Ovis aries: one gene and its partners. The protein of the gene in region 1 interacts with the protein of each later gene in a biochemical or structural test. Links are inferred from orthologs where the notes say so. Each region holds a gene or a part of one and is shown in the gene's direction. Other genes may lie near its edges. The genes, in order: UBA1, UBE2T, UBE2E2, UBE2J1, UBE2J2, UBE2A and UBE2B.

Region 1 (4,192 bases):
AATATGTATTTGAGCAAGCCCCGGGAGATGGAGAAGGACAGGGAAGGTTGGCATGCTGTAGTCCATGGGGTCACAGAGAATCAGACATGACTGAGTGACTGAACTGAACTGAGTCTCCTTGCTGTGTTCTTTGCTATGTTCCCGGAGCCCTGCACTTAGTAGGCACTCAAGGAATCTTTTTCAGATGAGCAAATTTGGAGGATTTGAGGACAGGATATGTGATACAGAATTTGGGATAAGGTGATAAAGGCATTTTGTGTTAATTACCTTGGCTGGAGCAACACCTTCTCTGGAGGGCCTTCTGTAACCAGACTACCTAAAAATGCAACCTTCCCCCACAGATTTCCCCTTGTGCATGCTGAGTCACTTAAGCCATGTCAGACTCTTTGAGACCCCATGGACTGTAGCCCGCCAGGCTCCTCTGCCCATGGAATTCTCCAGGCAAGAATACTGGAGTGGGTTGCCATTTCCTACTCCAAGGGATCTTCTAGACCCAGGGATCAAACCTGTGTCTCTTATGTCTACCTTCACTGGTAGGTGGGTTCTTAACCCCTAGCGACACCTGGGAAGCCTAATTTCCCCTTACCTTGTTCTATTTTTCTCCGTAGTAGTTATCACATATACACAACACATATTTACATGTCTATTTAATTGTATATTCACATATGAATATAGACTATACACAGTGTGTATATATTTATTATATATGTAGGGTTTTTTTTTTTTTTGGCAACACTGCTCTCTTGTAGGATCTTAGCTGACCCATCAGTCATTGCCCTGAGCCTTGGGCAGTGAAAGCACGGAGTCCTAACTGTCAGGGAATTCCCTACAGATGTAAATTATTTACATATTGATACTAGTTATCATGTAACATTTACAAATATTGATACATTTTATTAGATAAAATTTTTACATTTATGGGCTGTCTCTCTAGTCTGTCAGCTCCCTGAGAGCAAGGAAGATGCCTAGCACCTGGCCCACAGTTTGAGCTCTATAAGTGTCAAATGAATGAACTCCTTTGGTCACCTGAGCCTCAGCTTTTCCATCTGTAGGATGAATGTGCCTTTCCATTTGGAGTTATTTCCGTGTTCTGATTCCTTTTCCTACCCACCCCACCCCCCTGAGTACAGCTCCCGGAATTCCACAGCCCAGGTTCACATTTTCCAGTACCCTGGGCGCTCCTGCCCACCACGTGCACCAGGCACCGGCCCAACTGGACTACGACCCCCAGCATGCCTCGCGCGTTTGGGAAGTACCACAACTCATAGGGGTGTCTGGGTCTGACACAGGCTCCAAGAGAGCAGGATCAGGGGAGGGCTCCCCTCTAGCTTGGCATCTGTGGTACGTCCCAAACCGGCCCCCCGCCCCCTCAAGGCCCCGCGCTTCTGAGCTCAGCGCAAACTCTGGTTCTTCTACGCCTGAGGTGATTTGCTCTTCCGTTGCCCCGTGGCTTCGGCTCATCTCCAGCAGGAAGGCGAGGCTTCCGCCCGGCACAGGGGGTGAGCTGGATGAAGGTTCCCCCCAGTCCCCCGAACAGCATTCGAAGGAGGGGGCTCAATTTCTGGGATCCTCGAAGGGGCATATTTGGGAGCTCTGAGCCCCGTGTGGCATTTAGAGGTGGCTGTTTTTGAGGGGACGCAAGTGGCGTTAGGGACTCCGGGGTGGGACTTTGAAGTCTGTTTTCTGAGCGTCCCTCGGAGGCAGGGTTTATACCCCTTAGAGACTGGGTTTAGGGGGATGTTTGGGGAGACCCTTAGGATCCGTGTATGAATACTCTTGTCAGTGAGGTAGGATTTGGTGTGCTTCCCAAGGGGAGAGGCAAAGTTTGAGGTTCCTGAACTCAAGGCGGAATTTGGGAAGGGCTTGATTCAGGAAGGGTCCTGGTGACGGTGGGAACAGGCGGGACCGACGTGGCATGTGGAGATATCTAATGGCCTTTGTGACCTCTGCTTCTATTATGATGTCTCACCGCGCTTGGGTATTAAAGGCTGAGAGACCGGACACATTGAGGCCCACATGTTGTTTTAGGAAGAGGAGCCCCCAGCCCAGGCTGTAGAAGGGACGCTGGAGCCTAGCGTGCTAGGCTCTTCCGAGGGGACAGAGTGTCACCGGCTTTCCTTTGCCATGGCTTTATTCGCTATGCGTGAGGAGATGAGCTGTTGAGGAAGACCATTTTGGCCCTTTTCGCACCTGGTTCGTTGGAAGTATCAGCTTGTGAATTATTCACAAGGGAGCGGTTCATTGTGCTTAAGGGGCGTGCTGAAAGGGGCGCCTTGCAGTCTGCCGGGTAAATTTAGATCACACTGATAAAGCCTAAGAAGGTGAGTAGCGGCCCGAGTTTTCTGTGGCTTGTCTAGGGGCATTGTGCATAATTCATGAGGGGCGTAGCTTTTAGGGCTTCAACGGCACGATCCGCTGTTGGCTTTTCCTTAAGAGGTTTCAGGATTTAAAAGTTTTGCGTCTCACGAAGGGATGAGGCCTGGCGCATTGTTCATTCTTTGCGGCCCGATAATCCCAGATTATCAACAAAGACTCTAGATTCAAGTCACATCTATCCTTGCCAGCTGTGTGATCTTTGGCAGATCTGTGAACTTGAAAAAATGAGTCTGAGCATAATGGTGATCAGGTTAGTTTGCACTCATTTAGCAGCCTTATTAGACCATTTAATCCCCACAACAACCCTGGGAGGTAGGTTATTATCGTCCCACTTTATAGGAGGAAACTGGGACACCAGGAGGCTAAGTAATTTGCCTAAGGTTACTCACAGTTAGTGAGTGGCTGAGCCAGGATTGAAATCCAGTTAGTCTAGTTCCAGAGTCTGTAGTCTTAAATACCATAATGTCTCTCTCCCACCCACCCAATTCACTGGTACTTCTACTACTACTACTACTACTACTACTACTTTTAGTCATATAGCACCAGGTGGCCAGGCACTGTTCTGAGCCCTTTCTACATGTTTATTCATTTAAACTTCATCACAAGGTAGGTTACTATTGTTCTCATTTTATGGGTGGGGATACAGTGGCCCAGAGAACTGTCTGGTCCCAGGTCACAAAGCTAGTCATCGATGGGTGGAACTGATTTTTTGTGAGGATTTGAGAACTCAGGAGGTCTCCTTTGACCTGAGACCTGAAGGAAGTGATTCCCTGCTCTGCATTCCTGAGACTAGTGGCACAACGCATGGAAAGGACTCACCAAAGGAACCACCACATGGCAGGCGATTGGTTATTATTAAAAAGAAATGTAGTGGGTGTTTATCGTGTGCCTGGGGCTTTGGTATACAGTTGTGTCTCTGGTGACCTGGTAGTCTGTGCTACCTATTTAATGAACATTGGTGGCCTTAGTGCTCTGTTTTACAGTGTAAATCTGGAAGGGTGTTTCAAGGCATTATTTTTTATATAATGCCCCAAGTTGGGGGTTTCTCTGGTGTCTGGGTATACCTTCACCTGTAACTAATTTTATATCAATACAAAATATTATATTTACATGTTACCTTTACATTAATATATAATGCTTTAAAAATGTAACAGCGCTCTGTGCCAGCACTACTCTGAGTTAATTTCATAGTTTATACTCTCTGGTTTTCATAGTGACACATTTTGCCTTTATGATGTAGGTGGATTCTACTACTACCCCCATTTTACGGTTGTAGAAACAGGCAACTGCCAAACGCAGGTAGTAAACCTGGATTTGGGTGGACCAAAGCAGCTCTGGTTCACGTGCTTTTAGTTAACGGTGGGGAGGAGGCAGCTCCACTTCCCCGTGGGTTTCCCCTGCGGCTCTGCAGCATCTTTCATTATTCATGAACAGGAAGCGGTGACCACGTTGCCTTGGCTGGAATACAATAATCCTTACTTGCTGGGCAGGGCTGGCTGGAGTATTTCTGTCCATCCAGCCTCATGCATAATTCATCAGTAACTGGGTGGGACCTTTCTTGACCTCTCTTGAGTTTCCAGGTTGGGCTGCAGCAGTATCACTATTCATTATTCATGAGCCAGTGAGAGTGTTTTCTTGTGTTAGCCCTATTTCTCTGTTTACAGGGTATCAGATGCAGCAGTGGGCGGACCTGTCTCTTTTGTCCTTGCCCACCTTATGCATTATTCATGAGATGTCGCCTCAGTCTCCTTGGCTTCCAGGCTGCAGCAAGATTATTCATTATTCATGAGCATCGGGGTGTGGCTTCCATGTTTTA
Region 2 (4,067 bases), on another chromosome or scaffold:
CGCCCATGGGACTCTTTCTTTCTTTTCCCTGTTATCCCGTTTTTTCTGTGGTTCCCCAAACTACAGGTCTTTGCTTGGTTCATCATACCATCTCTCCTTTCCACCAGAGTTAGCATGGTGCCTGATTCGTCTAAAGGACGTGTTAAAGATTTCCAGGCTTCCCTGGTAGCTCAGCTGGTAAAAAATCCGCCTGCCATGCAGGAGAACCCAGTTCAATTTCTGGGTCAGGAAGATCCCCTGGGGACGGGATACGTTACCCACTCCAGTATTCTTGGGCTTCCTTGGTGGCTCAGCTAGTAAAGAATCAGCCCGCAATGCGGGAGACCTGGGCTCGATCCCTGGGTTGGGAAGATCTCCTGGAGAAGGGAGCGGCTACCCGCTCCAGTGTTCTGGCCTGGAGGGCTACAGTCCACGGGGTCGCAGAGAGTCGGACACGACTGAGCACAACACAGCCACAGCACGTTCTCAGAAAACCGCCGGAGGAAGGAGTTAACTTCAGTTCCGAAGACAGAACAGCAATTGCGACACAGTTATAGCTGAGGTGGAAAATAAGGAACCATGCTGAAGAGATCAAAATAGAAAGTATCAGTAGTAAGACAGGCAGCCAACTCCAGCGTTAAGACGGAAAACACGTCCCCGCAGTGAGTGGGCGCTGGCAGTAACTGCGGACCGACAGCTGACTGGACAGGAACGGGAGTCCCGTGTGGCTCGCGGCTCCCGGCGGGGCCCGCAAGCCCGGGGAGCACCGCGCGCCAGCGAGGCCGAGAGGACGCCCACGCCGCGGCCACCCGGAACCACGGCTACTCAACGCCGGTCTGGGCCGGCAGAGGTCCCGACTGGACCGCCCGCGGGAAGGTCCAGCAGGACCGGCCGCTCCTCCCGCTGCCGAGCCGGAGGCGTGGCGGGCGCGGCCCGATCGCGGCGGAGGCCCCAGCGCCGGGCGCCCCCAGTCGGAACCCCGCTCCGAACGTCCGGCTCCTCGGGCTCTCAGGTCTCACGGTCCTGTGGCGGCAGCCCCACCGCGCGAACACCCGGACGGCAGTCCGCTCCGGCACAGACCCTCCCGGCCCCTCCCAGCGCGCCTCCTCCCGGGCCAAGCGAGCCAAAGACTCGACGGTCCCAGCCAGCCGCGCTCGCGTTCAAAGCGCGGGGGCGGGGCCCGCCCGGAGCCCGGCCAATCGGAGGCTGCGCGCCTCCCGGGCGGCGCTCCGGACCAATCACAGCCTCCCGGGCGGAAGGCGGGGCAAGGCAGCGGCTGGGCTCGCGCAGGCGCGGTGCCGGCTGCTCGGGGCTGTTGCACTGCGGGGAGCGACCGCGCAGGTGAGAGAGGCCGCGGGCGGGCGGGGTGGCGGGGTTGGGGGCGCCTTCTTTCCGCCTGACTGCGGAGCCTCCTCTTCTCCGACTGTCGCTTGTAGAACGGACGCTCTGCATGTCTTGGCAGCGCGGTTGGCGCTCTGCCCCGGCCCGGCCCGCGCCCCACCGCCGCCCCAGCCGTTTCCCAGCCGCCACGCCCACCGGTTGCTCCCGGCCCCCCCCCCCCGACGCTCATTAATTGTTATATTTGTTGTTTTATCCTTGCTGATTCCCAGTGCCCGCTTACTGAGAGGAGCAGTCAGGGTCAGTGTGTAAACGGAGCTCAGTCGCTCAGCCGTATCTGATTCTTTGCGACCCCATGGACTGTAGCCCGCCAGGCTCCTCTGTCCGTGGGATTCTCCAGGCAGGAATACTGGAGCGGGTTGCCGTGCCCTCCTCCAGGGGAGCTTCCGGACCCACGGAGCCACGCAGCGTCTCCCGAGACTCCTGGATTGGCAAGAGGATGCTTTACTAGGAGCGCCACAGTGTATAACAGTAGTTAACTACCCAGGAAGATAACCGGGTCCCAGAGATGATATGATGGTCCTCAAGACGCGGATGAAGAAACTTGGAATAATTGACATGAATGGCTGTTGTAGTGATTAGTTCTAACATACTAATTTGCCTGTAGTATTGCTAATTCTGGGACTTCCTTGGTGGCTGAGTGGTAAAGAATCCGCCTGCCAATTCAGGAGTTGCGGGTTCCCATCATCTCTGGGTCAGAAAGATCCCCTGGAGAAGGAAATGGCAACCCACTCCAGTATCCTTGCCTGGAAAATCCCGTGGATGGAGGAGCCTGGCGGCCTACAGTCCATGGGCCGCAGAGTTGGACACGACTGAGCGACTTCGCTTTAGAACTTCAGTGTTTTGTTTGTAGAAACTTCTCATTGTTTTATACTTTATTTTTAAAATGTGTTTGCTTGAATAGATAGCACGAGGGAAAAAACTCAAGACTCCTCAAACAAGCAAGTGATGTGAGGGCTGTCTCCTTCAGTGAATTGAGCCGGCACTAGAATTCACTGCTGCTGACCCTTGGCAGGCACCCCTCTTCTCCCCAGGATCCCAGCCAGTGCAGACTGAGTGCTTCTGCCTGAGGTCATGCAGAGAACATCGCGTCTGAAGCGAGAGCTGAGCCTGCTGGCCGCGGAGCCGCCCCCGGGCATCACGTGCTGGCAGGACGGGGACCGGATGGAAGACCTGCGAGCACGTAGGTGTCACCCCAGGCGTGCGGGTCTCGAGCCTGTCCACAGTTGCGCGGGGATGTGAACACCATCTGTTCCTCCAAATAGGGCACAAGTGCATCTGCCTGCCTCGTTTGCTGCCTTTATAAAAGGTCTCCAGGGCATTTCTTCTTTGGCCTTTTACCCCACCTCTTGCTGATTTATTTCCGAGACCTGAGCATCAGCTCTGAAGCAGTTCAGCACCACGGTTACGTCACCTTTACGTATCTGTGAGGCCAAACCAGGCAGCACGTGGTCAGAACGCAGCCGGCCTCCCAGCAGGGCTGCAGGTATCTGTCGCCTGTGGCCAGATCTCCCACGTAGCCCTTGGGTGACACCAGCCCGGCCTGGCGCCTCGTGTGGGGGCTTGTCAGACCCTGAGAGCTGTCCCAGACCTAGCATCCCGTCAGGACCAGGCGGTGAGCTGCTTCAGGCACCCAGTTACCTCTTCACTGTTTCTTTTTCTTTCAAGAGATACTCGGTGGAGCCAACACACCTTATGAAAAAGGTGTTTTCAAGCTGGAAGTTCACATTCCAGAGAGGTCAGTGTGAGCTACATTCACATTTCCAGGCTAAACCAGTTGCTGGAAGACAGCAGTGTCGTGGAGCGTCGCGCACAGGGCTTACGGGGCCTGGATCTCGGTCCTCATCTCCTCAGGACTTCCTGTCACCTCCAGCACCTTCTCTTTGGAGTTCAATCTCTTTTTCTTAAACCTGGGTTAGATCACATCTAACACCACCTCCCCTACCCTGGGCTTACCGTTGCACTAACACACAAAACATTGTGGTAACACACTCGTCACTGCAGTAACACACACGTCACTGCGGTAACACACACGTCACTGTGGCAACACACACGTCACTGCAGGAACACAGACAGAAACTGACCACTCACACCCTGTTTAAGTGAATGGTTTTGGGGCGTGGATGCACTCCACTGTTGTCCAGCCACCCCAACCCATCCATCTCAGGAACTTTTTCTTTCCCAAGCGCCAGCCCTCTGTCCCCGCCCGGCCCCCGTGGCCCCGGCCCCCCGGCCTGTGTGGAGGCCCTGTTCATGCGCGTGTGCTGTAAGACTCTCATCAGGGGCAGTGGTTGTAGTTTGTGGTTTGTAGACACCTGTTCACAGGCCAGGTTTGTTACAAGTCCCAAGAGAAGCAGGTCAGTAATCCCAGGGATGTCAGTTCTGAGACACACAGGGGTTTTCCAAGGTGTGTGTCTCGCCAGAGAAAGAGTAACCAGGTGCAGTGTACAAATCAGCATTGGGCCCTGTTTTTCAAAATCCACCTGTAAAAACCTGCAGCCGAGACTGAGGAAGCCCGAGCGGCAGGTGAGACTGAGGGGTAACCTTTGTTTTTTTCATGGGTGTACTGACAATCTTGCAGCTCTATAGGAGAGGGACCTTATTCTTGGGAGATCATGCTGAAGTATTTCAAGGGCTAGGGACTTGATCCAGGTGGTGGGTGAAAGGGTTTTCAGTACTGTAAATTTTCA
Region 3 (3,500 bases), on another chromosome or scaffold:
AAAAAGAATTTTACTTCATTTAGGTTTTTGTGTATTTGTCATCTAATGGATTGCTTCTTGTTTAAGACATATAAAAGGATTTCTCAATCGTTTCGCATATCTCAAAATATTGCCAGCAGCGTTTTGCTGCATGTGAGGGCCTTTCCCTAAGAACTACTCTTTCTTACTCCCGTGCACAGCTGTTGTCACAGGCTCTTATGTATGTACTTACAAGGGTTTAAACTCATATTATTATTTTTTTACTCAAAGAAGTAAGCTGAAAAAAAAAATCAGCGTTAAATCCAAGGATGAGAATTCTAAGTAAAATAAAAATGAAAATAAGAAAGAAAGCAAGAAATATGATAGGCCTGTTCGAGCTGGATGTGGAACATACTGATATAAAACCTCAGGATTCTATTAAGTGACCCCAGTGCTCCAGCTGAGGAGACTGTTGTGCTCTATTTAAAGAGAGGGAAAGCCGACGGGTTTCCCCTGCTTCAGAGCTGTCTGGGCAGACCTGTTTTGTCTGGCGTGAAGAAAGGGAGCTGGTGAGGGTGATGGGGCTGTATCTTGTGATGTCTTATTGAAGGTATTCAGGATTTTCTGCTGGCTCTTCGCCCCCTCTGCTTCCCGCTTCCTCAGTTCTCTTTCAGGTTTGTCTTAACCTTTCTCATTTCAACCACTTCAAGTTCTGTGTTACGAAATCACTTTGATTTAGAGCAAGCTACAAGTGAAATAGAGCGAGCTATAAGTTAAATCTTGAGTGAGAAAGAATTTTAGTTATTGTCAGCTCACTCTACATTTGGACCAGCTGTAGTAATCAAACTGCTTTATTCGAGGCATCTTTCTTTTACATAGTAAGTCTTATTTTAAGTCTTAATTTGACTAAGAGCTACACAGTATCTTTTTCAGAAGGCATTTGTCCCCATTTACCTGGGATTCCTAAAGGTGTACTTTGTGTTGTTGGTGGCGCTCCTTAAAGGTAGTTCTGTGTTTTGCAGAGAGGCGCCCCAGAAGGTAGGCGTGCCAGCTCTGGTGGTGCTGAGGGGACAGCAACATGGTGACAGTCTGGGCATGGGTTTCGTCCGTTTGGTTTTGGATTTGTCAGTAAACTCTAAGCTAGTTGGGTCACAGGGGACGTCCTCATGGTAATAAGACTCAGAAATCAATGATGATAGAATGGTCGTTGCCAAGAGAGAACTGGAATTTTTTGTGCGTTATCTAGATTGTGACAGCTTACCCATGAACCAAGGTCCTGAGAAGATTGAGTTGGTGATCAGAGTTGCATGTGGAGCAAAGGGACTTTGAAAGCCTCGAGGTATATTTCATCCCGGCCGCGGCGGGAAAGATGGGCTCCTTCAGAGTCTCCATACAGTCTTCATCGCCTGTGAAGCCTGGTTGCTTGGTGTACTGTGGGATCAGGGCTGGCACCGACCTACGGTTCAGTTTCTGTTTATTTTTTTATTTTTATTTTTTATTATTATTATTTTATTTTATTTTATCAGTTTCTGTTTAGAATCATGGAGGCCTCTGCTATCACAAAGATTACTTCAGACAGTTGACTGACTTAGAGGATTTAACCTTAGCCCAGCCGGAGGATGTATTCATGCAGTATTGGTGCCAGTGTTTGCCCTATTCTCTGCTCCTGTGGCCATTTTTACTGACTTACAGCACCTAGCAAGTCGTCTTGACCTCTGAATCAACTTGCATATCCTAGGACCCAGGAGCCCGGCACAGTGCCTGGTGGGGAGCACAGTTTTATTTTTTTCAATAACGCTTTATTGACATGTAATTCATGTACTGTAAAATCCACTCTCTTAAAATGTATAGCTCGGTTTTTAGAATATCTAGAGTTGTGCATCACCATTATCTAATCCAAGAACGTTTCCATTGCCCCTCAAGGAAACTTTGCACCTCCTAGCTTTGTGCCGTTCCCCTTCTTCCCTCCCTCCCGGCCCCTGGCGATCGCTTACCTGACGTTTCCGTCTCCATGCACTTGCCCGTTCTGGACGGTTCGGACAAATGGAGTTGTACAGTTTGCGGCCCTTTGTGCCTGGTGTCTTTCACTGAACGTCATGTTTTCAAAGTTCATCCACGACGTAGCTTGCACATACGGTACTCCATTCCTGTATGTGGCTGGATGGCATTCCATTGCTCGGATATCCCACATTTGGTTTATCTGTTCGTTGTCAGCTGATGGGTAAATGAGTTGCTTCCTCTTTTTGGTTCTGTGAATAATGTTGCTGTGAACATATTGTGTATATATATTTGTTTTCATTTCTTTTCTCAATACATTTTGAATGGATGAAGGAAAAGTTTTGGCAGCTCCCAAAGCTGTTACGTAAAGTGACCAAGTCATTCATTTTATAGTGAGTTTTCTTTGGTTCCTGTAAGATTCACTTTCTCTCTGTTCTCGAGCGACCTTTCTGCAGTCCTCCCCCAACTGAATAAATTATTTGTTTTGACTCTTTAATCCAGGATCTAAAATGTCCACTGAGGCACAAAGAGTTGACGACAGTCCAGGCACTAGTGGGGGAAGCTCCGATGGAGACCAGCGTGAAAGCGTCCAACAGGAACCAGAGAGAGAACAAGTTCAGCCCAAGAAAAAGGAAGGGAAGATATCCAGCAAAACAGCTGCTAAGTTGTCCACTAGTGCTAAAAGGTACCTCGGTTATGGTAACTTCCTTGCTTTTAGTATCAATTTATGACCTGAAGTTCTATCTTTCTCTTGCATTTAATCATTTTTCTGGGATATGGACCATGAAGTTCATGGACTTTTTCTTCTTCAAGATTATTTCTTTTTCATGATTTTAATTGTATGCAGTATGAACTTTTTGGTATTTAAAGTCAATTAAACAGCATGGCAAAATTATAAACTACGTATCCGTAGTGTGTGTGTATGTATTGTTAGGTGAATATGAATAGGAAAGTGCATGTAAAGTGTGATAATTTGTTTTATGGTTCCTTAGACCATTACTATTTTAGTTTATTGAGCAGCAGAGAATAAAAGTGGGAGTCTATTGAAATAGTTACTGAATGATTATCTTCACTCACTGTTAGTAAAGTGAGAAATGCAGGAATTAATAACAATAGAATGGGAAAGACCAGAGATCTCTTCAAGAAAATTGGTATCACTTCAAGATACCAAGGGAACATTTCTTGCAAAGATGGGCACAATAAAGGACATAAACAGTATGGACTTAACAGAAGCAGAAGATATTAAGAAGAGGTGGCAAGAATACACAGAAGAGCTGTACAAAAAAGATCTTCAGGACTGAGATAACCACGATGGTGTGATCACTCACCTAGAGCCAGACATCCTGGAGTCCAAAGTCAAGTGGGCCTTAGGAAGCATCACTACGACAAAGCTAGCGGAGGTGATTAAATTCCAGCTGACCTGTTTCAAATCCTAAAAGATGATGCTATAAAAGTGCTGCACTGAATATGCCAGCAAATTTGGAAAACTCAGCAATGGCCATAGGACTGGAAAAGGTCAGTTTTTATTCCAATCCCAAAGGAAG
Region 4 (4,264 bases), on another chromosome or scaffold:
TAATGAAAGGGCACAGGGAAACAGGGATAAAGGTTGTTTCGAAGATTTGTTAGTACCTCCTCCATCAACTTTCTCAGACACTGGTGGCTCAGGCCATAAAGAATCCACCTGCAATGCGGAAGACCTGGATTCGATCCCTGGGTTGGGAAGATTCCCCTGCAGGAGGGTATAGCAACCCTCTCCGGTATTCTCGCCTGGCAAATCCCCTTGGACAGAGGAGCCTGGTGGGCTACAGTCCAGGGGTTGCAAAGAGTCCATGGGGTCGAAAGAAGACACAACTGAGCGACTAAGCACAGCACAGCAAAAAAAATGTTTTAAAAAACGTGAATTTCCCTTCAGTTCAGTTCAGTCACTCAGTCGTGTCCGACTCTTTGCGGCCCCTTAGGAAACGATAAATTATACTCTATTTTCAGAGATTTTCTTGTGCCTGCTCTTTCTCAAAAATATTCAGCTCAAGATAATCCTTATGCCAAAGAGGTATATTTTGGGGTGGCATATTGTTACCTTTCAAAAAGAAAGTTTTCTATTTTTATATAACAAAATAAAATTTGCCCAGCCTGGTTAACCCTCTTCATTCCACATAGAATTCTCTCCTTCCCTCTTCATCCTCTCCGTCGTCCCAATCCCCCCTCTTTTCCTAAATCCTTGTCCCTTTTTACGTCTTTTTCGTGACGTCAGTTTCTACAATGAAGCCCGAAATGTGTTCTTTGAGGGGATACCTTTCATATATGTATGCTTCCGAACCCGATTCAATTCTTTTTAAAAAATCTCCCCAAATGCTTAACTAACTGCCTTGCACCCAAGCATATTTGTCTGGGGGAAAAAAAAATGTTATAAAAACCCTTCTCATTCTCTTATCACTGGATTTCTCCTTTCCTGCTTAACTGTTTCCACCTCAAACAGCTACCGATCTGAAAACAAAGCACTTGGCGTAGCCGGCCCACACGGGCGACGGGCTGGGGTGGCTCTGAACTGGTCTCGAGGACCTGGGCCCAGATCCACCCGCAGCGAGGGCGGTCGGGGCGTTTCGGGCCGCGCCTTTCCGCGGGAAGTCCCGCAAGCGCCTGGGGAGCCCGGGTGGGCCCGGGCAAGGCTAAGACCTGAGCGCCGTCCGCTCCTGCAGATCCGGGAGTGCGCTTCGCGGGACCGGGGAGGTGACCAGCGGCCGAGCCGCGCCCCCGCCACGAAGCGACTGCCACGTCAGGACAACTTCACAAAACCTGGGCGAGGGCGGGTGACGCAGGCCGGGCGGCCGTGGCGGCTTTGGGCCCGCGGCCAGACGAGGAGGCTGACCTCCAGCCCAGCCCCGGCTTCAGCGACACCCCGGCCGGCGCCGGCGCCTGCCCGGCCCTCTGGGAGGCGGGGGAGCAGCGCAGGAGGCGGCGCCACCGCGGAGCCCGCGCCCTCCCGCCCCGCCCGCAGTCCCGGCCTGGGCGGGGCGGCCACCGCGGAGGCTCCTCGGCCAGACCCGGTCGGCCCGAACCGAGTTGAGACGCGGGAGTCGGCGGCGCGGAGAGGCGGCGACGGCGGCGGCGGGCCGGGAGGCTGGAGCCGGGCCAGCCCCCCGCCATGGAGACCCGCTACAACCTGAAGAGTCCGGGTGAGCGGGGCTGTGGGCAGGGGGCGGTGCCGCACGGTGAGCGCGATGGGGGAGTGACCCCGGACCCCGGGGACCCGCGCCGCGGTCCCCTCGCGTCGGCCGCCACTCGCCGCTCCGCTCCCGGTTCCGCGCTCTACGCCAGCCCGCCGCCTGCCGGGCTGGTGCAGGCCGCGGAGCCGGGCGGGCCGGCAGGCACAAAACCTGGGGTCTCCCTTCCGCACCCCGACTGCCCTTCCCTCATTTTCGCCACGTAGAACTGGGTTATCAGCTCGTCCCCGAGAACAGGTGTAATGGTGACGGCCGTGAGTAATAGAAATAGAGATCAACCCCTTGCCCTACCTGCGCCTTGAACACGGTCGTTAGCTCTTCTCCGTCGCCGCCACCGGACTTTTATTAGCTGTTTGACTCACTCTCATTTGAGGATTTCGTTTAAACGTCCTGTTTGCAGCCTTTGGGGCAAATAGAATTACAGACATAAAGGAAATGTTCCGGACTAAAGCGGTTAACCAAAAAGCTAAGAAAACTAGTTGAGCCATGTACTTTAGAACTAACCAAGATTTTAGCCATACTGGTATGATGTATGTATGTCTCTGTTCAGGCATAGAAACTTCTCTTCCTGTCTTTAATACCCCTGCTTCATTCACAGAAGCAGCCAAACAATCCTAGCCTCAAATACTTTTCTGGTGTATAATAAAGAAGCGGGCTTCCCTGATGGCTCAGCGATAAAGAATCCGCCTGCCAGTGCAGGAGACGCGGGTTGCATTCTGGTCCGGAAGATCCCCTGGAGGAGGAAATGGCAACCCACTCCAGTGTTCTTGCCTGGAGAATCCCGTGGACAGAGGAGCCTGGCGGGCTACAGTCCAAGGGGTCGCGAAAGAGTCAGAAACGACTTAGTGACTAAACAACAAAATTAAGAAGCACGAAAAGGAAGCAGCTCTCAGATTAAGACAGGCTTCAAACAAACCTTTGGATTCTGTAAGTGGTATTGGATTTGTACCTTGATAAATTTGTTCAGAGGGAGAAACTCCACACTTCAGGTCTAAATAATCCTAATAAAGGATTTTAGTGATGGTTTGGCCAACCTTTATTGGTTCTTTTTTTTGTTTTTCCTTCCGAAGAAGCGACTTCTCAGTAAGAATCAGCAAGATTAACATGCTCATGGAGAGAGTTGATACTGTGAATCTTGGATTTTTTTTTAATGACTTAAAAACATAACAAAAACTGAAGAAAAGCCTGAGGATACTGATTGAACAGAGCTTTGTTAACTTGAGTTCTGTCAGGCTAAGAAACGTTCTCCGGTAACCAAGAATCAGTCATAACGTTTGGGGGAGCCATAGACTTAAAAAAAAAAAAAATCCGCGGAAGGGTCTGGACTCTCCAAGAAATACGTTTATAGGATTCAATTTCAGTGGATTCACCACCCCTGCCATCCTCAACCCATCTCCTAAGCCAGGGGGAATAAAGGGAGATGAAAGAGAACGAGGGAAAGAAAAGCTTAATTTTAAGATTAGATGGTGGAATGCTTAGAATGTGAAAATTGTGCTAGATTTTAATAAAAATATGTGGGGAAAATGTAGGGTGACTGTTCGGTCACATGGTACCAAGTTCCTTGAGACAGCCGAGGTATTTAGTGGAATGTCCAGAGAATAATGAAAATGAGTAATAGTGCAGTTTGGAATGGAGTGTTGGTGGGTCCCAAGAGAGTGTTGTCAGAGGACTTTGCTGAATTTTGATAGGTTATTGTACCCGAGACTGTGATAAGCTTTTAAAATTCTTAAGAATTCTTTTCTGTTTCTACACTGTATGACTTACTGTAAGGTAGGTACTGGTTGAGCTTTCTTTGGTAGACATGCTTCTAGCTGTATAATAAATTGCTTCGTCTTTTCGGTTTCATTTCCTCAGAGGTAGTGCTATTGTTCTAAAGAAGAGTTTTTTTAAACTTTTGGTTTAATTCTACAGATCATTTGGTGTTCACAGAAAAAGTGAATTAGCCGAAATATGGAACTTATTGAAAGTGCGGAAAGCATAGTGAAAATGTTTTCTTTTTTTGAAAATGTTTTTTTTGTTTTTTTTCTGTCTTGTAATACTTTTTAAGGTAATGAATGCATGAAAGGAAGTGGTTAAAAACGCTGCACAATGTAAGAGCTATAACCCTTTTTCTATCTGACGTGGAATTGTCTTAGAGATATGGATGGGACAATTAAGACAATACAAATAACTGGTTAAAGGCCAGTTTGTTAGCATATGGATAGTAAATTTGTTCATTTTATAGATGGAACAATGTATTTTTAATGATTTTTCTAGAATGGACCTGTGATAATGGGCAGAACTCTATGTGAGGTTACCTCTTAAGCCTCTGACTACCCTGTCAGTAGTTGCTTCTGGATCAGGCACCCTGCTCTCTTTTTTGGGTCTCTTCTGGTCTAAGTATCAGGGTCTCAGAGTACAAAGTAAGGGGACATAAAGTATAAAGAACTTCCTGTGGCAAGATTTCTTCAGAAGGGCCCTATCTGCTCGTTCAGCAGATGGTTGGCATATAAGAAATTGGTGCAAAGGCACCCATTACCTCCATCAGAAATATAGGAGTTACTCTATCCATGGGCTTCCCTGGTGACTCAGTGGTAAAGAACCTGCCTGCAGTGCAGGAGCCACAGGAGACATGGG
Region 5 (4,040 bases), on another chromosome or scaffold:
GCCGGGGACCTCTGGGAGAGGGAAGTCACGCTCAGGGAAGAGCTGGCCCTGGACTCATCTAGGTGTGAGTGCGAATCACAGCTTCCTCAGTCATAGGCTGTATGACGTTGAACAAATTACTCAACCTCTCTGAGCCCGTTTCCTCAAGCACAAAGTGAGGCTGAGTTTCCTCTTGAGGCTTGAGACTCAAAGGTGAGACTAACCGATGCCATGGGGCCAGCGTCAGAGCCCCATCTTCCTGCTTCTGAGGAGGCTGCCCCAGAACCCACCTTTGGGAGGCCAGAGACACAGAGACTGTGTCCAGCGGCAGCAAGGCCAGCAGCCCCCTCCTCCCTTCCCTGCCTGACCCCTCTCCTGCCTCCCCAGGCTCTTCCAGTGACTGGAGGAACAGAAGGCACTGTCTGGGACCAGACAGGGCATCTCCAGCTCCTCACACAACAGGGGCTCGTGTGGCTGCTCCTTAACAGCTGTGTGTTGAGAGAATTAGAGAAATTATTTAGGGCCCTATGTCCCCCACCCTCTCTCCAGAGGGATGGCTGGCCCCAGCCTGCTGAGCATGGCCCCTTTGAGCCTTCAAGCGGTGGCTTTCCCTGAAGCTGGACCTAGGGATATCAATGTGCCTCCTTCCAGACTGTGTGCACTCAGCACTTCATGGGACCCCTGGGCTCTACTTTCACACCCATGGGTGTCTCCACCCTCAGAGACAGCTAAGAGTTGTTCCTGGAAGGATTCTGGTGCAGCAGCCATGAAGTCTGAGCCAATGGGCTCTGCATGTGTGCCAGATTCTGGGAGCCAGGAGCATCTTCCCCAGCCTGGGGAGCTGGACCATCTGGAGTCCCTGCCCACGGGCAAGTAGGAGGCCTCCTTGGTGCTATTGCAGCGCCTCCCTGTCCCCCAGGCGCTGACTGCAGTGTCAAGCAGGGATTCCGGCCACCACGGAGGGGGCTCCTTGAGGTACTGGCCACTGGAGATGGGCCGAGTGTGTGATGTTGCCCGTGTGGGGCTCAGGGTCTGGTCTTGTGTCTCTCTCACACCTGTGCTTGAAACACCCAGCGCCTCAGGGCAGCCTCCCTTACATAACTCTCCTCGAGCTAAAAACAGCTGGGCCCGCCCTGCGTGGGGATGGCAGAGCCTGGAGGAGGCAGAGGAGAGAAGGAAGCTTGAGATGTTTTCTGGGTGTGGCAGCAGGAGGTGGGGCCTGGGACTGTCAGCCTCCCCATGAGGAAGGAGGGCCAGGGCCAGTGAAGCTCACTCGCAGCAGGAGGAGGTAGCAGGCTGCTTCCCCGTGGCTGGCTGGCCTGGTGCTGGCCTGAGGGGCGATGGGCACTTCTGTTTCTGCCCCTGGGCCTGGGCCAGCACTGCAGTGACTGGTAATATCTTGTCTGAGGTGCCCCGGGTGGGCCAGATTCAGTGGCGATCATGGCCCCCTGTCTGCCCTCTGCCAGTAGCCATGGCTGGACCTGTCGGAGCTTGGAGTCCACTGTCAATCGTCATGTGGTTAGTAACCCCACTGACCGGTGGTGTATACTGAGAGGCAGTCAGGGTTGTGGTCAAGGGTGAGACTTTGGGGTTTGAACCCCAGATCTGCCTAGCGACAGCCTCTCTGGATTAGTCCCAGCTGATGACCAAGGCCTGTCTCACAGTCAGTGCAGCGTCTGCCCTGGCACAGCCCTGTGGGGGCACACCCCAGACCCCACTCACCAGGAAGGGTGGTGAGGAGAGTGCTGGCCCGCCCGCTGCCCAGCCCTCCCTTACCCAGACCCCCCACCCGAATGCCATCCTCACCTGCTCGGAAGTGTTCCCCCAGTGCTGTCCCAGAGACTCTCTGCTCCCCAGGGACTTCCCTGGGTTCCCCACCTCCCTGCTCTGCCTCCCCCTCCCCCAGGGCCTGGGAGGGGACCGTGGGAGCAGAAAGTGAGCCTCAGTGCAGCGGCCACTGCTGCATAATGACCCTATTCATGGGCTAGGCGGAAAATTCAGCCGGGAAACAGTGCAACTTTTTATGAGGACAGCTTTCCCCCTGGGCAGGGGCTGGGCAGGATTCCTACGCCGGACCCCACCTGGCACAGGTTCCAGTGGGGCTCCTGGCTCCACAATCACTGCGGTCACACAAGGTCACCCAGGATTCGATTCTCAGGGACCCGGGTGGTTCGGTCGCCGGGGACGCGGACTGCCTCCAGCGCTTCCCTGTTGAGTGGGCATAAGAACTGGGTCCTCCAGGCGGGACTGGGCCGATTCTTTGGAAGGGGGCGGTGGGAGGGTCAAGGTACCAGGGAACTTGGGCGGGGCTCATCCCGGAACCTCGGGGGTTACCCTCTAACTGGGCCTGTTTTCCCGCGGAAGGCAGGGGATCATGAGGAGGGGAACGTGCAGGGTGGGGGGACCGGGAGCTCTGCGACCGCTGACAGCGATGTGGCCGAGGGACCAACAGGACGGCCAGCCGTGGCTGATTGGACCAGACCTGCCTGAGCTCGTTCTCCGCCCCTCGGAGCTGTCTGTCAGTGCGCATGCGCCGACTGCTTCTGCCTCCCGGGAAGGGAGGCGACAGCGAGATGCAGGCAACCTCCGCCTGGCCGTCTAGAGCGGCCGCCTCAGCTAACCGCGCCCCGGAACTGGAAGCGCGACTTACCCCGCCCCGTGGGCGGCCATCTTGGAAGCTGAGGCGGCAGCAAAAGCGGTGGCGGCGGCGGCGGCGGCGGCGGTAGCGGCTGCGGTCGGGTGGGCTCGCTCCCGGCGCGGTGCAGCTCTGCGGCGCGGGCCCCACTCTCCGCTCCCTGCTCCGGCCTCGACCACGGCGAGCCTGAGCGCGGCGGCGGCCCACGCGCGGCGACGGGGAGAGGTGAGCGTGCGCCGCGGGCCTCCGCCGGGGCCTCTTCCTCGCGTCCGCCCCGCCGGAGCCGGCCCGAGCGGGGAGCGCGGGGCCTCCGCACGGCCCGTCCTCGCTGCGTCCGCGCTCGCGGGGCCTGGCCCGGAGCTTCTGTGCGCGGAACCCGAGGTCGGTTACAGCGGGGCGCCCGGGGCTCCGGGCCGGGTCGTCCCCCCTCCGGCCAACTTGGGGATTCGGGTGGCCACACGGCTGACGTCCCATGGAAAGGCTCCCGTTAGTGGCACACTTGCGGGCGCCGCCAGGACCAGCCGGCGTAGAGCTTGGTTTGTAAACGTATCTTGGGAATCGGTGTCGGGGTGGGCTGGCTGCCGTTGAGCCCGCCGCCGCCGCTTCATCTCGATCAGTTAGGACCCCAGAACGCCTCTTAAGTTCCCCGAGCCATGAACATCTGGGGTGGAAACAAAATTCGGGCGGTCAGACTGGGAAGCTCCATGCTGGGTGGCTGGAGAGGGCCCTGGGCCGGCTTCTCGCCTATGCCTGCCTGCTCTCCCCTATGCCTGCCTGCTCTCCCCGTCTGCCAGTTACCTGTCCCGATCCACCCCTGGTCAGGTGTACGCTTCTCGCCCCCTTCCCAGTTAACACCACTTATCTGGACTATGTTTAGTTCACATCCATTCTCAAACTCACGCCGGGCCCAGCCTGAAAATGCTTAGAAAGGTCCCCGGGCAGCCCCCAGGGAGTTAATGAGGGCTTGAGAGTTCTCTGGGCAGTGGTCAGGGCTCTGTTATCTCTAGGTGAGGGGCCCTCGGTGTAACTTTAGGGTCTTGCTTACTTGAAAAGCCCAGCCTCTCTGCAAGTACTGTTGGATGCCAGTGCCTAGAGCTAGCACTCTGTCATCTGCACACCTTAGCCGAGCCGACCTCTGTGCAGGTGCGGGAGTGGCACGTGCGGTGGCCCCCCGTCAGCTGCGGGCCTCCATCCAGCCTGTGAAGCAATCCCACTGGTGAAGGGAGAGACTTCCGTGGGAGTCCTGGGCACGGGGGTGTCACGTGCGCTCTGGTGGGTCAGACCAAGGTCTCTGGGCGGAGAGAAAGGAGCCGAGCAGGCAGTGCTGGATGAGGGGCGAGTCTGTGTCCACGTAGTACTGAAGGGACTCTTGCCGGGATGTTGGTTCAGGCTACTGGCCTTCAGACTGTCTGCCCTGAAATTTTGT
Region 6 (4,003 bases), about 57 Mb from region 1:
CAAGTCCTGTCTGTTTTTATTGTCATTGCCTGGTTCACTACCTCTCACCTGGAATACTTCAAGAGTCTTCTAATTGCTGTCCTGGGACCCGTCTCCAGTGAGTACAGCTCTGATCATGTTGCCTTTCTGCTCAACCAACTTCCAAGGAAGCCATCAGCTTGGCATTCAAAACTCTCCCTGAGTGAACCTAGACCTACTTTTCTCATATTTCCAAAAAATTCTTAAATGAGTATTTTGCCTACCTTCTATGTTATTTGGAGTTGACCTTTTTAAAAAACATTCTTTAAAACTGTTATTGCTTTTGCAGGTCCACATACTAACTGTGACTCTTCCCTGCAACCTACAGCTTTTTCACGTGCATCTTACCGTTCCTTTTACTTCAGACTCACTGCTCTTCCAATTCTCTGCAATCGGATATTCTCATACCCTTGGACTCTTCTGAACATATAGTAGCCACTTGGCTTGTTGAACTGTCAAGGGGAAATGTGGTTCCAGAGCCAAATTGTGAGTGCCCAAAGCTAAAGCCTCATTCTGCTTGCCTCCAGCTCTCATTCCCTCCCCCAGGACACACATCACCATTTCATTCTGCTTTGGGGGTGATCATCGGCCTAAATGTTGGGGCCCGCACATTCATCCCATAGAGAAGGGACCCTCGACCTCACCATCGAGGTCGATTTACTCTTTGGATGTTCAGTGATTTTGACCAGTCACACAGCTTCCTCCCCAGTTTCCCGTGTCCGTAGGAGGTGTACCCCCTAGATTTCTGGCTTTAGGAGAACTGGTTTCGCCTTCATCCACTCTGTCCTCATTGAGATTGAGACTTCATCCTTCTCCCCCTCAGCCACTGTGCGCACTTTAATAAGTGATCTGATCTCAAAAAAAAAAAAAAAAAAGAAGAAGAAGAAAAAGGAAAAGTAGAAAAAAAGCTTCCCACGGTTCGTCTTAGAATTGGCAAGTGAAGGTGGACCGATTCCACCACCCGATCCTATTGAGTTCCCGGCAATTACATGAGGCCCGCAGCTTGCTTCTCACCCTCGCTCCCCCCGTCCCTCAGGGGTTTAATGACCTAAGCAACTTTCCTCCCCCCCCCCACCCCTGTCCCGTCTTGGTACGGTCTGTCCGGCGTTTGGCGTTCCACCCCCGTCGTTTCCTTCCAGGTTGGTTCAGCCCCGGTCTACTCTGGGGTGGTGCTAAGCCGGCGCCAGATCGACCCTCGACTTAGGAGAGGCAGTGCGGTTCCTCTAGGCGGTTCTCCGTTGGTTCCTCCGGCTTCCTCAGCCTCCTCACCACCCGCGGGGACCCGAGAGCTCGGTGTATGCCCCACCCCTGACCCCGCTAGAGACATGTCCACCCCGGCTCGGCGGCGTCTCATGAGGGACTTCAAGAGGTAACCCGCCCGGGACTCTAGGGGCCGGGGGCTGCCGCCGGGGTACAGGGCGGGGCCGGCAGCGGGCCGGGCGGGCGGCGGGTTCAGGATAGCGGGAGGTTCCTGTGGTGTTTCCCTGTAGGTTACAGGAGGATCCTCCTGCCGGAGTCAGCGGGGCTCCGTCCGAGAACAACATCATGGTTTGGAACGCGGTCATTTTTGGGTGAGTCTGCGTTCCGGATGGTGGTGAGGGCCGGGGGACCCGTGTGCCCTCTGGGACCCACCCGGTGCGGAGGCGGGGACTGAGAGAGAAGGTTTGGGGCTCGTTGGGCCTAGGCGCCTCCCCGGAGCCTGTGCCTCGATTAGCTCGGTTCGCGCTGCCAGGGGAACCGTTTGGGGTTCGGAGGGGGGCGGGGCGGGGAGCGGTGGCGCTTCGGCCTGCCTGGGGTTTCTGAGCCCCAAAGCTCTATTGGTCGTGGCTTTGCAACCCGGGAAGCGGTGGTTTACCAGAGGTGGGGCGAACAGATGAACCGGGGAGAGAGGAGCCCCTGATGTGGGAACTGACTTGTTTCTCTCTGTGTTGTAGGCCTGAAGGGACCCCGTTTGAGGATGGTAAGAGAGTTTCTTTACCCACCTTTTGGGACCCTGATCTTCTGGGGAAAGTGTTTCCCAGTCAGCCTGGAAGTGCCTCCTACTTAATAACCCGCTTCTCCCTAGCCTTTGCCTGCTAAAGACTTGAGAGGAGTCCAGTCTGTGGCAGGTTGTTCTGGCTATTGTCCGCTTGACTAGAACTGCTGCTTAAAAAAATCTGAGTAAGGCAGTCACTTTTTAAAAGGAGCATAATACCACTGATGTTAAGGGTTTGTGAGGTTTGGGTTGTGATCTTGCTAAATTCAGGACCACCACCCCCTCCATCAGGATCAACCCAACCACTTGCTGATCAACTCGGAGACCCCAGGGACTGTCTGGTTCAGAATTCTGTCACAAGGGTGGGAACTGTGTTCAGCAGGTGCCTCATGTGTGGTGTTGGATGTTGAATGGATGCAGGAATCCCTTGCACACAACTGTCTGGTTTCTATAATCTGACATTGAGTGCTTTTCAGCCTCACTGCTTTAAAGTGGTCTTTAATGGCACCTTCAATAGCCAGTTCCTTGTTTCTTATTTTTAAATGAGTTTTCAGCGTGTGCTTTTATCAAGACTTTATGATCAGTAATCTCAAGGCAGTTTCACAATTGAGGGGAGCCTTAAAGTACTCTCTTACCAGTGTCCAACCTACTTCAAGATACTACACGTACTTACAGGTACATGATTTTTAGGTTTAGGTTTGACTTTTAAAAACACACTAAGTTGCTTTTTAAGGACTTTTTAAAGCTTCTTGTTTTGATATAATTATAGATTTGTGTGGAATTGTAATAAATAATAATACAGAGAGACCTTGTGTACCCTTCACCTGTTCCCCCCTCTCCCCTGGTAACATCTGGAATGACTGTGCACAACCAGGAAATTGACATAGATATAGTTTTATGTGCACTCAAATGTGTGTGTATGTGTGTGTATAGTTAATTGCTTTTGAAAGCTTAATGCATTTAAAAAGATGATTAAAAGTATTTGAACTACTGATTGACATCTTTAATATTTGAGGTATTTTTAAACAGAAAAGGGTCTTTCTGTTATTTATTTTCTTCTCAATGCCTTATATTCCTTTGGTCATATAGCCTTTGAGAGAAATCTGCACACATATGCACACACATATGCATACACCTCCATTTGAAGGTGGCAACAAAAGCATTTCTACAAACTACTCAGTACAAGCAAAGTTGCCAAGTCAGATTGCCTTTGGATGTTACCAACCACAGCATGTTGTGAGGTAAATGAATACAAACCAATTCTAGGATTCGTCTCAAACACTCAGATTTCCCTAGCAGATTGTAAACAGTAATCTAGGTGGTTTGTTTCTTCTCTGCCTTCACCTCCTGGGTAAATATCACTGTTCTTCAGTGCTTTGATAAAAAGAAATGACAGCAAGGGAGTATGATCCTGAAGGCATACTACTTTGGTGTGTGAGGTAAATCATTTGAACTGATTCTGATCCATAGCAGAAGCTAGCTAGGCTTAGTTTTCCTCCATTAGATCGGTTGCTGGTTCTTCATACTTAAGCTTTATGTGCAGATTAGCTGTGTATTTGCTTTAGCTCCAGCAAAGCAAATTATTTTCATTGGCTTCTTTTTTCCTCCTGATTTTTATTCGGACTGCTTTATGCTGGGCGCAACTTTATTAATAGTACATCGCTTTGCTAGGGGTTGGCAACTTAAATATTTCAAGGGTGCTTCTCTCGCTTTAAGTGGTATGAATTGGAGAAGTACTTATGGAATCCATTATCTACCTGGACCTTCCCCCTTGACATTACTGGTTCTATTTTTGATGATGTGTCTCTCCACCCTGACATTACTGAAAGGAATTACTCAGGCTGAATGACAGTACCCTTTTCTGATTCATTCTTTTGAGCAGTCTGCTATCCATGAATGCTTCCTCAGGTGTCTCAAACACTAACCAAGGTTACAAGAATTTTTTTGACCATTTAAAAATACTTGTTATTTATAGCTAGGAAATTTACTGGAAAGGCCCGATTAGGAACA
Region 7 (4,300 bases), on another chromosome or scaffold:
TTACATTTGTCGGTGGGTATCTATCAAGTATTAGATCTGGCTAACTTGATTACCAAGGCATTTAATAAAAGCAAGAGAAAGAATTCAGGGATTGAAGAAAGAGAGGTACCAGAAAAGTAGGGGAAACTAACCCTTTCTAGTTCAATGAAAGTATGCCCAACGCCATATTCCTCATTCTGTCTTACTGTAACACCTTGGGTTGAGGAATCACCCAAATGGACTTAAAGAGCTCAGGGTTCAGCCAAAAAAAAAGTCTTTAAGAACAGAATTGGAGGCGATAGAGGAAGGAAACTCAATGACTAGAAATAATGTCAGAATTCCAACGGCCAGTATCTCTGAGCCCCGGTGGGGGACGTTTCAGGCTATTAACTTACTAGTGTTGAAAATCTGAAATAAATTACTCAGGCTAGATATACAACCCCTATCCACGTCTGCATGATCTCTCCCCCACATGTGAGTCAAACTTTTAGGTTTGGCAACTAGTCACCTACACTCTCTTTATACACACTCTCTATGATCAAACCTGCACATTTCTTGACAAATACAATGGTACCCCACTGTAGACCAATCCAAGGACTCTGACACAAAGCCTCAAATAAGAGCAGACTCATAAAGGATAAACAAAATTCCGTAATCCTGTGGGGATTGTAAACAAACATTAAACAATCTGTACACCGTTCTTTAATCTCTGCCCAGCATCGCCAACCCTGGAAACACACTGCAATGCTCATACAGTAATATTTGGTGGCCCTAAGGAAGCATTTCAGGGGATTTCGCTTTGTATGGGCCTCTGCATTCAGCTGAGGAAAACGGAGGTCCCTTCACTTTTCCTCAGATGCCAGATTTGATAAGCCATTGAGCCAACCAGAGGGGAGTTTTAAATCCAAATTATTTGGGGCTCTATTTTAAAGATTTAAGAAGCAAAACAAACTACTGCTTCCGACACAATCTCATCAATAGCTGTCCACAGGACAAAATGGAGAAAAAACATAAAAGTGCCTACCAGCCCTCAGCCCATAAATTTAACTACCGGGCTGAAAGACGGCTGAAAGTTAGATCCAGGAGACGCTCTCACGTGATCCGTCCTAATGGCGTCATAGGGACACGTGGTTCTAGATACTTCGTCCCCTCCCCCTCGGAGGTGGATTGTTGACAACGCCGCCGGCAGTCACGTGATCTTACGTCATCCTACCTCCTTTCCCTGAAATCTCTGGCCCCGGATGCGTCCCTCTCTCCCCACCCGGCTGAGCCTAAACTAGTGAAAGAGGGGGAGACGGGTTGGTGTTGTTTCAGTTCCGGTACTTCTTTATCACAACCTCCAGTCTGAGCATAAGGAACAGTAATTGGTCAATTCGTTCAAGGAGACAAAAGGGATAAGGTCCCTGGTGAAGGGGCCCCGTAACTAGCTCTCCTACGTCCCGTTCCCTTCTCCCCCACCCCTCACTGCATGGTACCGGCGGAGGGCGGAGGGATCTGGAGGCGGCGGAGGGAGACGTCATTGCAGGGTTGTTTGTGCAACCTCGGCAGCGGCGGCGGTGACCCACAGTGATTCGGCCGCCGCGCCGGGGGGTGGGGGGGCTGCGCGGGACTCTTTTCTTTCAGACTGACCGCGGGGCTGCTGGGGAGCATGTCGACCCCGGCCCGGAGGAGGCTTATGCGGGATTTCAAGAGGTAAGGGCCTTCATTTTCGCCTGAATGACGACTCCTCCCCGAAGCTCCGGGGCTAGGGTGGGGATCCGGGACACCTTCCCCTCTTGACCCTAAGAGGGCTGCTGTGGGCCCAGGGGGACAGATGGAAGCCCAGTTCCAGCCCCGCTTTAGCACTCTCTTCTCCTTGGTTGTTCACTTGTCCTACGTAAGAAATTTTGATACTTCCTCACCACCACCCTACCCCCACAAAAAAGTAAAAAGATGGCTATGGTTTGTCCTACGATTCCCTGCTGCCCACTGCGGCCAGTTGCCTGATACCTCGCCCTGGCTTTCAAATCTCATCCTTCGCCTCTGCACCCTGCGGTGCCTCTTCTCTCTGCCCTAAGAGCGAGCCCTTGCAGAAGCCTTTCCACCGCTAGCTACACCAGTCAGCTTTGTTCGATGGCCTTGCCGCCTTTCCGACTGCCAGGGTTGGGGCCAACCCCCGCCTCCCTCCCCATTCTTTCTGCAGTGAGGGTGGGGTCTGATGCGCGAGGGCCGGAGGTTGTTAACCCATCCTCCGAAACCCGACTCTTCCCCCCCCAATCCCTCCCCGCCCGCCTGAAAGGACCTTGAGAACTGGCTTAGAGGGCTGCGATTCGGGCTGGCAAACCCGGCTGCCAGTGCTTTCTGGAACTCAGCTCTGTGGCCTGGTGTGTAAAGACCTATCTATAGCCTCCAAGGTCTGGAAAAATGCCTTTCTGGAGGCTGGGGCTAAGCTGATACTCCCTGAGCCTCTTTTGTAAAATAGGGTTTTGTTAGATATTAGGGTTGATGAGGAGGAAGTGACTTTTTTCCCCCCAGTTGTTTTACTTTGAATGCTTACAGGTACGGAGAAGAAAATAACCAAGAAAACTTAGCGTTACGCTCCCGTGCGCATTTATAAGTGTTTTTCTAGGGAGATCTGCCCTGCTCGAGAGAAAAAATCCAGTGTAAAAACTTGGATTGGCTTATCAGGAAGTAACCTCTCAACTTCATTGTAAACCTTTAAATGAGGCACTTGGAAGCCATTGTTTGGGGCTTTGCCCAGTTTGGCCTTGAGTGTATTGGTAACTTAGCCTTTATCTTTGGTGGGCGATATCACGCCCCGTATCTTCCAAGGGTTCTTCTTTTCGTCGTGGCCTGTACTGCTTAAGGTTGACTAAAAGCCATTTTGGGGGACTAATTCCAAGAATCATATCACATGACGGTGTGTTTATGTGTGTGTGTGTGTGTGTGTGTGTGTGTATATTTAGTGTCGCGTTTACTTTTTTTCCTGAGATGACAGTTTTAAAAGGAGATACTCCTTTTTGTGCAAAACTCTGTTTCTACAGCTTGAAACCATAGATTTCAGATTAGCTCCCATGAGTGAAATTCCAATAATAAAATTTCGAGGTTCCTGGCCTTTGGTACCCTGGTTTCTCATTGCAGTTCTCTGCTTAATTCTGAGTTGTGTGCTTGGCACCTTCGGTAGTTTTCCAAGGGTCGTCTTTTGCAAGAGTTTGTAACAGGTGTTGGAAGGTAGCTCTGTATATGGGCGCATGATCTGAGAGGTAAAATGCAGTATTGGTGCAGAGCTTTTAAAATAGGGACTGAGGGAAAACCTAGCCAGAGCTTTGCTTACTCTAAAAGCTGCTGCTAACGCAAATGGAATAAAGTAGTTCTACTGCCCAAAACTAGTTTCCTGATTAAACTGGATGCAAGTGTTTTTCAGTCATTTAATGTTTACACTGAGGTGGGGTCTTTATATTTTGTTTGGGGGAGAGTTTTTTTGGTGGCCATGTTGCCCAAGTAGCTTTGGTTAGGACTCACACAGCCTTTGCATGTTTACAGTAGCAAAATTGATAGTTGAGTAAATAGTGTTTTTTTACACTTGAGGTTTTTCCTTTGTTGTTATTGTTAAAAGTAGTTCTTGAACAGATATCTTAACCTTGGTGATATTTGAAGAGGGATGACTCCCAAGCCATTTAAAGTGGTATGGTTTATTCCAGCTCAGCACAACAAGAAAATGGATTTAGTTTGTTTCTCAAAGTAGATGGTTGAAAGATGTTTGACTGGCCTTCTTAGTGGCCTTAATGTTCAACTTTTAAAATTTCTATTCTGGATTTCTAGATTGCAAGAGGACCCACCTGTGGGTGTCAGTGGCGCACCATCAGAAAACAACATCATGCAGTGGAATGCAGTTATATTTGGGTGAGTTGAAAGAAATAACAAATGGTAGGTATGGTGATTCTTTTAAGAAAATTGAATGTATAACAGCTAGGAAGGGAAACTTTCCTAGGGATGAGGGATCTTACAGAAACTGTAAGATTTAAAAAAAATTCTGATAGAGTTTTGGCAGTCACATAAAATTTGATTTTATAATCAGTGGGTTTTATTTGATAAAAATATCATTTGAGACTACAGGAGAATGATAAGTTTGTACAAAATGTGCCAAGCAAATGCTTAGTATGTATTCTACTAGAACTGTAAAAAGAGTAGGAACCAAAAATATTGATAACTTCCACCATAGTAAGAATTTAAATAAAAAATGTTTGACAGCTTAATGTGAAATAACTGTATGGAGCCTTTCAAGGTGCAGTCTTATATTTTACATATAGTATGTATTGCATGTAGGCGTATTTGTATAAGA

What was found.
Region 2: of the proteins of UBA1 (region 1) and UBE2T, one has a biochemical effect on the other in vitro, tested with the Homo sapiens proteins (4 studies listed by BioGRID, with this or other methods). The link is inferred for Ovis aries from reciprocal best matches to the Homo sapiens genes UBA1 and UBE2T.
Region 3: of the proteins of UBA1 (region 1) and UBE2E2, one has a biochemical effect on the other in vitro, tested with the Homo sapiens proteins (4 studies listed by BioGRID, with this or other methods). The link is inferred for Ovis aries from reciprocal best matches to the Homo sapiens genes UBA1 and UBE2E2.
Region 4: the proteins of UBA1 (region 1) and UBE2J1 form a complex in vitro, tested with the Homo sapiens proteins (2 studies listed by BioGRID, with this or other methods). The link is inferred for Ovis aries from reciprocal best matches to the Homo sapiens genes UBA1 and UBE2J1.
Region 5: of the proteins of UBA1 (region 1) and UBE2J2, one has a biochemical effect on the other in vitro, tested with the Homo sapiens proteins (2 studies listed by BioGRID). The link is inferred for Ovis aries from reciprocal best matches to the Homo sapiens genes UBA1 and UBE2J2.
Region 6: of the proteins of UBA1 (region 1) and UBE2A, one has a biochemical effect on the other in vitro, tested with the Homo sapiens proteins (6 studies listed by BioGRID, with this or other methods). The link is inferred for Ovis aries from reciprocal best matches to the Homo sapiens genes UBA1 and UBE2A.
Region 7: of the proteins of UBA1 (region 1) and UBE2B, one has a biochemical effect on the other in vitro, tested with the Homo sapiens proteins (10 studies listed by BioGRID, with this or other methods). The link is inferred for Ovis aries from reciprocal best matches to the Homo sapiens genes UBA1 and UBE2B.

Annotation. Positions count from the first base shown.
Region 1 is NC_056080.1:57,623,805-57,627,996, reverse strand, and holds the start of UBA1 (ubiquitin-like modifier-activating enzyme 1), read left to right. Parts: upstream 1-1,392; 5' UTR 1,393-1,499; intron 1,500-4,192. UniProt on the Homo sapiens protein: Catalyzes the first step in ubiquitin conjugation to mark cellular proteins for degradation through the ubiquitin-proteasome system.
Region 2 is NC_056065.1:79,694,581-79,698,647, forward strand, and holds the start of UBE2T (ubiquitin-conjugating enzyme E2 T), read left to right. Parts: upstream 1-1,267; 5' UTR 1,268-1,320; intron 1,321-2,281; exon of another isoform or gene 2,282-2,392; 5' UTR 2,393-2,451; coding exon 2,452-2,560; intron 2,561-3,045; coding exon 3,046-3,115; intron 3,116-3,457; exon of another isoform or gene 3,458-4,067. UniProt on the Homo sapiens protein: Accepts ubiquitin from the E1 complex and catalyzes its covalent attachment to other proteins. Catalyzes monoubiquitination. Involved in mitomycin-C (MMC)-induced DNA repair.
Region 3 is NC_056079.1:42,012,424-42,015,923, reverse strand, and holds part of UBE2E2 (ubiquitin-conjugating enzyme E2 E2), read left to right. Parts: intron 1-2,457; 5' UTR 2,458-2,465; coding exon 2,466-2,641; intron 2,642-3,500.
Region 4 is NC_056061.1:48,178,242-48,182,505, forward strand, and holds the start of UBE2J1 (ubiquitin-conjugating enzyme E2 J1), read left to right. Parts: upstream 1-1,464; 5' UTR 1,465-1,569; coding exon of another isoform or gene 1,570-1,600; intron 1,601-2,246; 5' UTR 2,247-2,575; intron 2,576-4,264. UniProt on the Homo sapiens protein: Catalyzes the covalent attachment of ubiquitin to other proteins. Functions in the selective degradation of misfolded membrane proteins from the endoplasmic reticulum (ERAD) and is essential for cells to recover from ER stress.
Region 5 is NC_056065.1:50,556,919-50,560,958, forward strand, and holds the start of UBE2J2 (ubiquitin-conjugating enzyme E2 J2), read left to right. Parts: upstream 1-1,240; 5' UTR 1,241-1,419; coding exon 1,420-1,497; intron 1,498-2,652; exon of another isoform or gene 2,653-2,839; intron 2,840-3,197; exon of another isoform or gene 3,198-4,040. UniProt on the Homo sapiens protein: Catalyzes the covalent attachment of ubiquitin to other proteins. Seems to function in the selective degradation of misfolded membrane proteins from the endoplasmic reticulum (ERAD).
Region 6 is NC_056080.1:114,919,888-114,923,890, reverse strand, and holds the start of UBE2A (ubiquitin-conjugating enzyme E2 A), read left to right. Parts: upstream 1-1,203; 5' UTR 1,204-1,343; coding exon 1,344-1,387; intron 1,388-1,508; coding exon 1,509-1,589; intron 1,590-1,952; coding exon 1,953-1,978; intron 1,979-4,003. UniProt on the Homo sapiens protein: E2 ubiquitin-conjugating enzyme that accepts ubiquitin from the ubiquitin-activating enzyme E1 and transfers it to a E3 ubiquitin-protein ligase. In vitro catalyzes 'Lys-11', as well as 'Lys-48'-linked polyubiquitination.
Region 7 is NC_056058.1:43,581,272-43,585,571, forward strand, and holds the start of UBE2B (ubiquitin-conjugating enzyme E2 B), read left to right. Parts: upstream 1-1,500; 5' UTR 1,501-1,627; coding exon 1,628-1,671; exon of another isoform or gene 1,672-3,780; coding exon 3,781-3,861; exon of another isoform or gene 3,862-4,300. UniProt on the Homo sapiens protein: E2 ubiquitin-conjugating enzyme that accepts ubiquitin from the ubiquitin-activating enzyme E1 and transfers it to a E3 ubiquitin-protein ligase. In vitro catalyzes 'Lys-11'-, as well as 'Lys-48'- and 'Lys-63'-linked polyubiquitination.